Neodiprion lecontei: one gene and its partner. The protein of the gene in region 1 purifies or fractionates together with the protein of each later gene. This does not show direct contact. Links are inferred from orthologs where the notes say so. Each region holds a gene or a part of one and is shown on either strand. Other genes may lie near its edges.

The links.
Region 2: the proteins of pre-mRNA-processing-splicing factor 8 (region 1) and splicing factor 3A subunit 1 purify together in Homo sapiens (affinity purification with mass spectrometry; 4 studies listed by BioGRID and IntAct, with this or other methods). This does not show direct contact. The link is inferred for Neodiprion lecontei from reciprocal best matches to the Homo sapiens genes PRPF8 and SF3A1.

The regions. Positions count from the first base shown.
Region 1 is NC_060264.1:1,831,266-1,836,425, forward strand, and holds the start of pre-mRNA-processing-splicing factor 8, read right to left. Parts: upstream 3,549-5,160; 5' UTR 3,349-3,548; intron 2,859-3,348; 5' UTR 2,839-2,858; coding exon 2,619-2,838; intron 2,431-2,618; coding exon 2,262-2,430; intron 2,169-2,261; coding exon 2,004-2,168; intron 1,894-2,003; coding exon 1,678-1,893; intron 1,303-1,677; coding exon 964-1,302; intron 720-963; coding exon 614-719; intron 360-613; coding exon 1-359. Other genes in the region: complement component 1 Q subcomponent-binding protein, mitochondrial, read left to right, coding at 3,966-4,182, 4,343-4,493, 4,579-4,781. UniProt on the Homo sapiens protein: Plays a role in pre-mRNA splicing as core component of precatalytic, catalytic and postcatalytic spliceosomal complexes, both of the predominant U2-type spliceosome and the minor U12-type spliceosome.
Region 2 is NC_060260.1:1,607,039-1,612,894, reverse strand, and holds the start of splicing factor 3A subunit 1, read right to left. Parts: upstream 3,524-5,856; 5' UTR 3,329-3,523; coding exon 3,223-3,328; intron 2,960-3,222; coding exon 2,629-2,959; intron 2,548-2,628; coding exon 2,388-2,547; intron 2,320-2,387; coding exon 2,038-2,319; intron 1,917-2,037; coding exon 1,809-1,916; intron 1,649-1,808; coding exon 1,483-1,648; intron 1,400-1,482; coding exon 716-1,399; intron 638-715; coding exon 576-637; intron 456-575; coding exon 348-455; intron 247-347; coding exon 73-246; intron 1-72. Other genes in the region: FAST kinase domain-containing protein 4, read left to right, coding at 3,929-4,075, 4,253-4,714, 4,777-4,926, 5,028-5,273, 5,355-5,499, 5,586-5,669, 5,769-5,856. UniProt on the Homo sapiens protein: Component of the 17S U2 SnRNP complex of the spliceosome, a large ribonucleoprotein complex that removes introns from transcribed pre-mRNAs.

The DNA.
Region 1 (5,160 bases):
GTTGTAGTCTGGAAGAACTTGGTCGATTTGAAAGACCTGAAGAGGTATCGTTTTTTCTGTGGCTTTGGAGGCCTGTGTTTCAATGCATTCAGGACAAAGTACTTTAGCAATTTCTGGTAGCTGACACGAACTTTGACTGGCTGTCCTGGTGGACAATGTTCGCGGTACCAAGATTTTACCAGGGGAATATCAATCGCTCGTCTAGTTCTGCCAGATCGCGTGTTAAACGGACGTGGTGCCCAAAGCAAAGCAATTCCATTAGCCGTGTTGTCTGTATAAAGCGGAGTCTCCTGCAAAAATGGCTGAACCTCTTCAGGCAGTACAAAATCTTCATCTTCTTCAAGAAGAGGCTCCATTGTCTACGGAAAGAGAGGATTTTCTAAAATTAAATTGCGAATTGTGGAGATTTTGAATGAAACTCGATGAATAAAATACAGTGTCGTCATTTTGGAAACTCCGTTAGTCATGCTGCGCTAACGCAGGGCAAAAATGACCCTTCATCTACGAGCTATTTTAGTTGAACAACTCATTGAACAGGGATGTCGACGTGGAACAGCTCGAAATCAAATATGATAATCTCTACACAGCATTTATTAAAGTGCAATGGATGTACCTTCAATGAATTTCGGTGTGAAATCGGGTTGATCAATGGGTCAAAATAAAAGGCAGGTAAATCTGGATCCTCGGTCTTGATGTAGACAACGTTAGGAGCGTGGTACCTGCGACCAGGATGTAATTAAACAAATACAAGGATAGTACTGTTAAAGTTAAAAATTTGTCTGTGATTTCAGCAGTCGCCCTCTCTCCTCTACGAGGGTGACGAATAACGATCACTAAATATTTTACCACACGGCTAGTAAGACCACATATAATTTTAATATTGTCTTAAAACTGGTGTGGATATCAATATAATAACAGAATCTTCAGAAATTTAAAAAATAATCTGCAAGTAAAACTACCTACCACGAAAGATGAACGAAGTGTGGCATGTTGTTGTACAGATAAGGAAAAGCGATACGATATTCCGTACGAATTGGTTGTCGGATGATTATTTTATTTATGTCGTTGAACTCGTTCCAATCCTCATCAGCAGCATTTGAATCCTTCACAAGGGGCTCAAACTTAGGACCGCCAGGAATGGCCATGTTCAAAGCTTTTGCAGTAAAGAACGACTTTGGATCAAAGAGGTAGAAGAAATTTTGATCAACCAAATCAGTCAGCAGCTGATTGGCCAACCGATATAATGTTGCCATTTGTGGAAGGGACAAGTTCCACTTACGATAAGTTGATCCATTAACATGCCTGGAAATTATTAGAAAAATTTCGTTGCATGAAATAATTTTGGTCATGTTTCTTCAGGCTGCTAAATTTTGAGTATATACGTAAGTCTATTTCAGATTAGCGTTTGATCCAATCACAACGTTGCATTTGTTTTATCTCAGACAAGCAAACAACAACGCTGCAACCGTCAGACCACATGAATGACTGATTTCAGGACCCCTACGCGATTCATCATGAAATTGGTGTATAAATGACGTATATTGTCAGGAGTTGGGCAGCAGGTCATATATTGACGCCAAAGCTGCGAAAGGTCCTGATATTGCTAATGAAATAATTCAGTTCACTTTCAAGAAAAATTTCAGCTGAGCTCAGCATCATAATCAAGCATTTACTTACTTCGTCCCAACCAAAGGTTTGTGCTCGTAAAACCATGTAGCAACCGATTCGTCTTCCTCCGAGTCAAGCTCGATTTGTATGGCTTCCAAAGGCTCGACATCCAACACATTGTCTGCATAATCTAGAGGCGGTTCTTCGTCATCGAACGGAGGAAATCTCATTCTTTTGAAATGTCTTCTGTCTCGTTTCTCACGCCTCATCATGATCCACATTGTTCTTAAAATTAAATTCACTAGATTTTAATCACGATCAAACATTGGGCCGAAGTAATTATTTGACCTTTTTTTCTCTCTTAACAAAGAGCTGGAAATTCTTTAAAAACTCACCCCCACTGAGCGATATAGACTGGTTCAATGACCCATGGAATTTCATTGACAAATGTGATGGCTCCGGTGATATGATACAGCACTTTGACGTCCCGAATTTGTTCCCATGGCATTGGCATGTTTTCCAACAATTTCATCACAGCATGAGGCATGTATTTCAGAGCACTGTAATTAATATAATGACCGTATAACAAAAGGTGAAGACAAAATTACAAACAAAAAATAGAGCTTCATTGAACACTGATACACGATAATTACCCCAAATAAACACGTTTGTCATGTCTGTATTTTCGGCTGCTCATATCTCCATGATCTCTAATAATCTTCCTTATGTGCTCAGGCGGCATATCCTCCTTCTGAGCATCGACGAACCCAAATTTACGTTTTTCCGCAAAACGTTTGGACTGTAATTGCTGCCACTTTTGAGCTAAAATTTGCAGAAAGTGGGATAACGAAATCAAGTTATCTAATCATATGTGAACAGTTTTCATCAATGAATGTTATTTGGAAATATATCAATTTTTTAGATGTTTTCTTCAATCACTAGAAAATAATACACATGCGTAGAGGACCTTTTCTGTCTTTCCAACATTAACAATAATAATCCATTCTTACCTTTTTCCTGCAATTTATCTTCGGAAATAACTTCGGGCTGCTTAGGCAGCTGCGGTAGCGGCGGCCCAGCCATTGCTTGCATGTGAGCATGATGGGCTGCCTGAGCATGAGCCGCTGCTTGCGCGTGAGCTTGCGCAGCTGCAAGCTGAGCGTGAGCCTGCTGCTGGGCCATCATGGTGGCCCATGGGTTTGGGCCCAGCAAGTAAGGCGGTATAGACATTTTGACGCTGACTTATTTAGCTGAAAAGAAATTTTTTAAATCTTTGATCAATCAGCTAATTATTATAGAAATTATGAGTTGAAAAAGTAGTATAACTAGACGTAAATGAGCATATAAGAAATCGTGCCAATTGACCTAGATATCATACAATCCGAATTAAATACGTGAAAGTAAATCAATACGGAAATACAATGTGGCAAGAAAATGTCACGTAATCTGTCAATCATTTACAGAGTTATTGAGTAATAAAAATGCGGCGTTGAGGCCTGTAAATACACATCCTTTGGTTATGGTTGACTTCCATTGTCAAATTGGGATCTTAAAAGCTTTTATTACTTTTATTCGATTAGTGAAATAATTATGATATTTTTGAGGTTATATAAGCAAAAATTTCCGCTTAGTGATCAGTCAAAATCGACGCCGACCGTTGATTTTCATTGGCGAGAATGCGGTGAGGACAAAAATCGTCAGCCATTTTGATCACGAGAATGTCGTGAGTGTTGTATTTACCTTGGTTTCTGTTGCAAATAGGGTATCGCTAGTTGTTCAGCAACATCGCGCCCAATTTGCTCTTCCAATTAATCAACTGGTGTTATTTGGCACCTGATTTTCGTCCGTCTATACGTATCTTTGCGAAACGTATCTCCTACGTTTACAAGCCGACATGCCGAACGAAGACGAAATTACTCGAATACTCGAAATCAGTAGCGCCGCTACAAAATGGCGGCTGCGTTTACTAAACTCTTTGTAACACTGAGTCGACTTCCGGTCACTAAGGTTACACGCATCAACCGTCGAGAAAAATGCCTGCACTTCGGCGTGGAAAGTCCACTGAAAGTCACATTATACGATAATAATTTTCACCCCATATCCGCGTCTAAGTATACCTGACTAGTTTGTGGTTTTGAGCTCACCTTAGTGAACATCCGGTCGGCGAACAGGGTAGAGGCAAGTATGGTAGAGGAAGACGAGAATACAAGAGTGAACGTAGCCTTGACGCAACCTTTTCCGCGCAAGGAGTAGCTTGATCGCGAGCCGTGCCAAGTCGTGCATCAGCCGAATTTTAGAAAACAGTGTAAATTAATTACAACAATTATCAACGGCGGTATAAGCCAGAAGACAGAAAGATGAACGGATTAGTCAGAACCGCTCTGAGGGCCTCAACTCTCAAGGGATTAACACAATCTACCGTTGTTGTCGGCGGCACGGCACGAAGGGATTTCGCAAGAACGATGTGGAACATGTGCAGCCGGCAAAACGAACTTGCACCACTAACGAGTTACAAAATTCAAAATCCCAGCGATTTTTGCAGCTGCGGCTGCTCCCGAAAGGCACACACCAAAGGTTAGGGTCATTTTTCAATGTCACCTCGTAACTTCTCCGCCCGAAATATAATTTACTATTATTATTATTATTACTATTATTTGGTTTTTTTTTTTAGTGATAATTTTCTCTCTATTTATTCAATTGCAATTTTTTGTCATTTACATGGTTGATGCTATAGCGGAGAAAGAATTGGGACTCTTTTTAGCTGAAGAAATTGTTGCGGAAAAGAAGGCACAAAAAATGAAGACCATTCCCACAGAGTTAGACGGCTTTAAGATATCGTTAGATGGAGCGGAGGTTACGCTCACCAAAAAACATGGAGATGAAACGTAAGCCAAAAATTGTTTAGCGATCTTCTTGCTATAGTTATTACAATTTTGTGACAAAAACTTGACTGAATTCGTAATTTTTTAGCATAACGATAAATTTCAATGTCAATCATACTGTCGATTCTGATTCTGAACCCGACATTGACACCCCAGAAGACAAGGCTGAATTTGGAGAAATGAAAAGCAAGCCAAGCTTCGAAGTTGATATTGAAAGAGGAAATCAAACTCTAGGGTTCACATGTTCATTCAATAATGAACCGCAAGCTTCTGGTGCCGATGATGGCTACAGTAAGTTTTTTTTTCCCTCCCATGGACCAAATTAAATTTTAAAAAAATCTCGCCATTACGAAATATTGAAGTTACATTTTTTTCTTTATTTTCAATTTGACTAAATTTACGCTGCATTCTGTTTTAAAATTGTGGTTGATCGGACGTGAATGGTATCCAAAGCGTTGAGTACAAATTGACAAACTTTTTGTCTTTTTGATAATTTACCTTTGGAAAAGTAAAGTGCTACCGTTGGCATTGGGTAATATCATAAACAACGAAATTATCTCAGTCACGGTGGATCGACAAACCCTTATAAAAGTGCAACATTGCAACTTACGTAAATAGAAAAATGAAAATTAAACAGAGTAGTAAGTTCACTACATGAAAGAATTTTGAC
Region 2 (5,856 bases), on another chromosome or scaffold:
GATTTCAAAATGCGCACAAATGAATAAGGACAAGTGGTTTCCGATATATGTATGATAAATCGCAATAATCACCTCGTATTGAAGCTTTTGTTTCCCAGGCGGCATTCCAGTCTGTTCGTGAATGCTTGCCTTCATTGTAGCAATGGTATCGCTCAATTGCAGCGTGATGTTCAGAGTTTGTCCGTTCAACTTCCACTCAGCTTTCTCGGTCATCATAGGAACGGCGATATTGACTTGCACCGGACCCTGAACAGCGGATTACATTGTTAAAAATTATAGCTTGAACGTGGGATTGTTGCTTGAATAATCCTGCGAAACGAGAAAGCAAAACAATTAATAACACTTACCTTATTTCTAGCCAAGAACTGTTGCTCCGGTATCAAGGAATCTTCGGTACGCAATTTCTTTGCTTGCGGTTCTTCTTCCATTGGCTCGCCAGGATGCTTTATACCAATCTACAATTTTTTGAACGGACAAGTAGATACGTAACGAAACAAAGTCGGGAATATCACAAAAAGAATAACGATTTTACGGCTGCTGTGCGTGAAATTTTAGTAAATTAAAGTAAATCTTACCCCACTTGGTAACGGCGGCTGCATCGGGGGTGGCGTTGGCATGAACGGCGACATTGCTGGTGCTGCAATATTAGAAAACACAATGAAACCTTACGTGATGAAAAAATTTTATTACTGCAGAAAGACGAAGTGAAACTTACTCATTAAGGGGGGCGGCCGAATCGGCGGCATGGGTGCCATCATCATCATAGGTGGTTGAGGCATTATGGGTTGCGGAATACCCATCGTCGACATTCCAATCGAAGGGGGTGGTGGTTGAGCAGGAACCGGTACGGGTTTGGGCGCGGGTGGCTTTGGAGGAGCTTTCAGGGTCGCCTGAGGCTTGGAAGCCGCAGCCGCCATGTGGGAGAGTTCAGCAGCTCGAGTGGCGGGTTTAGGCCCGATTTTCTCCTTTTCCTCATCAGGCAGAAGGCCTTTAACCTTATGGATTTGATGTATTTGCTCTTCAAGTGTAATATTAGCGCGAGCGGCGCGCGTAGCGGCCTCAACGCTCGACGTGTGACCGTCCCACGTAACCTTGTCGTCTTTCTTCTTGTCCTCTTCACCGATCTTCTTACCAATAGCTGTCTCCTCATCTCCCACACCGAAAATATCCGTACGCCGCTCGGCCAGCTGCTTCAAACTTGCTTCTATCGCCGTACCAGGAGCGAATACGGTCTCTTGGGCCAGTTTGTCCAGGTGCTTATCACGCTGCTCCACCCAGCGAGGATCCAGCAGACCAATTCGCATGTGTTCTTGCACTTTGCTTGCTGGGATTCTCTCCCCAGTTATAGGAGATATCAAATACTCATCTGGCGCAGTGGGGCGAGTATTCTTCACGGAAGCTAGATATTAATTCGTTGGATTAGATGGCGGTGTACGATGTTGTCGACGAATAACCTAAACTCGAGACACTTCATCAGCTTACCATGTTGTTTCGGATCGTACCCCTTCTTGACGACGACATTGCCCGGGGTTGGAGGTAGCGGCGGTGGTTGCATGGTATCGCGGTGTCTCTGGTCTTTGCCTCTGTTTGAATCTCCAGGAGGCGAAACGTCGTCGTCATCACTGGAATCTTCCTCCATATCTTGGACCTGGAAAAACTGGTGTTACAATGTCTGATACTGCTGACATGCGATATTAGCGATTATCTCCTAATAATATAATGATAAGCACAAAAATAATTGCGAAATTCACATAAAATTCTCATGCATGGACAGAATTTTTTAATTCACAGTATTTCTTGACATTCACCTGGTTGTTATCTTTTGCTCTGTCTTTCTCACCCTCGCGAGAGTGGAGCTCTTCATCCCCGTCACTTTCAATCTGCATTTCCACCTCCTCTCCATCCTCAATGCGTTCCTGAAAGAAAAACTCACTCAGAACATGTCCTAATCCGGTGATACTAAATTAAAAACTTATTCAATCGTGTCGTGTGAAGTTGAATAGCATTTGAACAGTTTACGACTGAAAATCCACGCACCTGCATCAAAACACGAGCTCCAACCTCGTCCGGAGTTGTGGGAGCGGGGAAATTCCCAACTTCAAACTGTTGGTAGTCAACCGTTTCAACGACAACAAAATCATGCCAATCAATTTGAGCATAAGCAACTCTTTCACGCTCTAATTCCTCTTCCTCTTTGCGCCTCTGTGCCTCCTGATACTTGAGCCACTCTGCGCGATATTTCACTTGTTCTAATATCTTGTCCATGTTCGCGGCTTCATCTCGCAGCCGAGGAAGTAAATCTTTCGGAGGAATCAGCACCTGTTGCACAAATAAATGAAATACCAATTTCTATTCTATATGCATTTCTGTATTCGAACCGGGCTTACCTTTGTATACTGTTCAAGCAGCTTAGTGAAATATTGAAAGAGAGAGTGCTGAGGACGCAAAAAGTCAAATTGAAAATTCCTCTGCTCACGATTCATTAGATTGGTCAAAAATTGGCGCCCATTACGAGCTACAAACTGAGCTGTCAGTTTGACAATGTCTCTGTAAAATAATTGACAGTTTAAAATGGACCGGATGCAATACAAAATAAATTCAGTAAGAGTAAAATAAAAGTAAGCCTACAAATCTAGAGCGGAAATAGACGGGGGATCAGCAATGAATTCAAAATCAACTGGCGGATCCTTGGGTACGAACGGCTGTTCGACTTGCTTCAAAATTTCTTGTTGTTTCTGGTGGGCTGTGAGATTCACACCTTTACCAACGCCCAGACCGATGACAGGCTCCTGTGCCTTTCCCTCCTTGAATTCCTTAACTTTGTGCTGATAATAAGCATGATACGGATCGCCAAAGTTGAGGAAATTGAACTTTGGGTTGCCAAGCTCGTTTTGACGGATCCTCGACTCAAACTCTGGGCCATTTCTAGCAACAAAACTAGCCGTCTTATCAACGATATCTGATCAGCTGTGTAAGGAAATTGATACCTGAAAGATATTTCCGTGATGATTTGTTATTTTTACAACATCGACTTACGATTCGCTCTCGTTTACCCACTGGCTCTTTCAAAAGCGGTTCGATTGATTACTATCCTCCACCTGAAAGGTGCGCGTTACGATCAGTTACAAAGTTCTTACACATTTTAAGCAAATTTAGAAGAGCGGGTGATGAGTGAAAAAATGAAAAAACGTTGCTCGAAAATTCAGTTTCGATAAAGGATACTCCTAACCTCCGGGGGAGGGTATATGATGCCGACGATCGGCTGCGAGGACGGCGCGGCATCCTCGACTTCCGCTGGTTGGGGAGTTACTATTTCTTGAGCCGGCATTCTTTCCGTAGCTCTATTCGCAACTCGTTGTAACAATTATTCACTCGTCATTTAGAAGGGCAAAAATTCAACTAAACTCCGCAGCGAGAGGAACGTAAAGGCACACAAGAATCCGAAATCAGGGCGATATCCAGACTTCAAGGAACTCAATGGAACTACCATAGACTACTAAGAAACACCAAAAGGGTCCGGGTGTGCGAATAATTGAACAGCGAGCTAGCTGACATGATCTCTATTTGACTGTTGGTTGATCGTTACTCCACTAGGTTCGCATTGCGCCAACCCGTCAATGTATTCTTTGATATGCTGTCAGAGTTTCGTATCTACGGTTCCTTTTAAATACAGACTGCAGAGCGAATGTGCAGCAGCCGCATAACCTCAATATGAAATCATAAATTGATAATAATATAATTTATAAATACGTATGATCTGTGAAATAATCGTCACACATTTAACCTGTAAATATAGAGTGAGTGTCATTTATAACATCACCTGTTACTCTTAGTGTTATGTCACGTGTTATTGGGAACAGAGTAGGGCTAGTCCTTCTGCTTATATGCTATGGCATATTACATAAAGAATTATTCATTTTCCAGATTAATGGCAATGCTACAATTTGGCGGAACCATGTGTAACGTGGTAACTAGGTTCGCCCCTCGTACGATATGGAGGATTAATTCGCAGCAGTTGTTAACACTCAGCAGTTCCGCAGCCCCTGTTCCTGACATTGCTTCTATTGTTGACAAGGTTTGCTATCCATTGACAAAGTAATACACAAACTGGTAGCTTAGTTTTTATTCCCTGCTTAACTTGCCTTCAGCTGTCTTTTCCTAATTTTATTACATTTATTTCTATTATCGCCTACTGCACAAGTGTTCCTAATCCTTCTTGATCACTTGTCATTTACTGTCTCTTGAAATTCAGCAGCCCAAGAAACCAGTCCAACAGCAAACCAGTACAAAGCAGAGTAAACCGAAACTAAAGTCCGAAAACAAACTAGTCGAAGCGGCATTTGCCGCAATACTGAATGACACGAAAACAGTGGCCGATAGGTCTTCAAAATCCTCCATTAGAAAAGATATTTCTGAGGCTAATACCATCGACAAGTTATTAAGCATAGCAGGAAATGAGAAAATATCTCAAAGAGATGGTCTCAACATTATGTCTATTCTCTCCGAGTGGATTAATGCAAAGACAATCACTCCGGCAGACTTTGAGAAAGATCCGAGGTTCTTGTCGCTTTGCAAACAGCTTGCAGGACAGGCTGAACAATCGACAACATCCAAACCCCACGAACATGGTGATTTAAAAACTGTGCTCAGCCTTGCGGGAGATGATGAGGCAGCAAAACTCATTTCTACCCTATCTCTCGCTCAGATGACCCAGGTCAGCCCTAATTCGGTAAACATGCAAAGTTGTTTTCTTTTCCTAATACATTCTGTTCTTAGGTACTTACCACCTTGGCTCACAAGCGGAGAAGATCCCTACCCATATTGAGATCTTTGTCGTACCATATCTCTCGCAGCACTGAGAAAATGAATGTAAAAGAATGTGCTGACATTCTATTTTCATTGGCTGTGCTGAACTTTCCAGATGAGGTATGAAAACGAAATATTTTTTTCTGCTTATCATTACTTAAGACAAAATATCAAAGATCAACACTTTTCTGGCATGTACAAATATTGGGAAAAATGTGTAGGTACTGATGGAGAAAGTTAGCTCAGAATTAATCATACGTATTCCTGAGAATAATGGTACCGCTGTAATAGGCTCAGTCGTAACATCCTTGGGCTTTCTCCGATATAAAAATACCGAACTGTTGGATGCGTTATGCGAATGGATCTTGGCAGAGCCACGATCACTGAAGCCACAGTACATCACATCCCTGTTGTTAACTTTAGCCACTGTTCAACACATACCTTTCAACATGACAGAATTGCATAAGGTACCAAACTTACTTAGAATTGGTTTTCCTCTCTTTTCTTGTCTGCGAAGCTTTTTCAATTTTTATTACTGAATGGTCTAGGCATTCATAAAGCCATTGAAGGAGACTGATGTATCCGCTTCGGAAATATGGCTTGATGTTGTCTGGGCAACTGTAATTCTAGGAATAGCAGATCCTGTCCAAGTTGCTTGCACCTTGAACTCAGTTTTTATCCAAAAATTGACAGGTATCTCAAAATATATTTCTGAATTGAAGTGAAACTGGGTCGTGAATACCATTGATCCTTATCACGATTCTGGTTAAATTTCACAGACTTACAATGTCTGACGGTGCCAAGGAAGGTGAAGCTGCTCAACGTTAATGCTGCAGCCAAATTACTAATCCCAAATTATACGGGTAAGTTTGCAGTTGACTATGGGCCATCATTCTAAAATAATTGAAAATATATTTAATAAATGTATTTCGTTTATCGAGAGATCTGATTATGTGATTTAGGGCCATTTTTAAACGAAGACCTCAATTCGGATGAGACATTCATCAATAGACCCAAAGAAAAACAGCTCTATGTTACCTCCGTGCACGA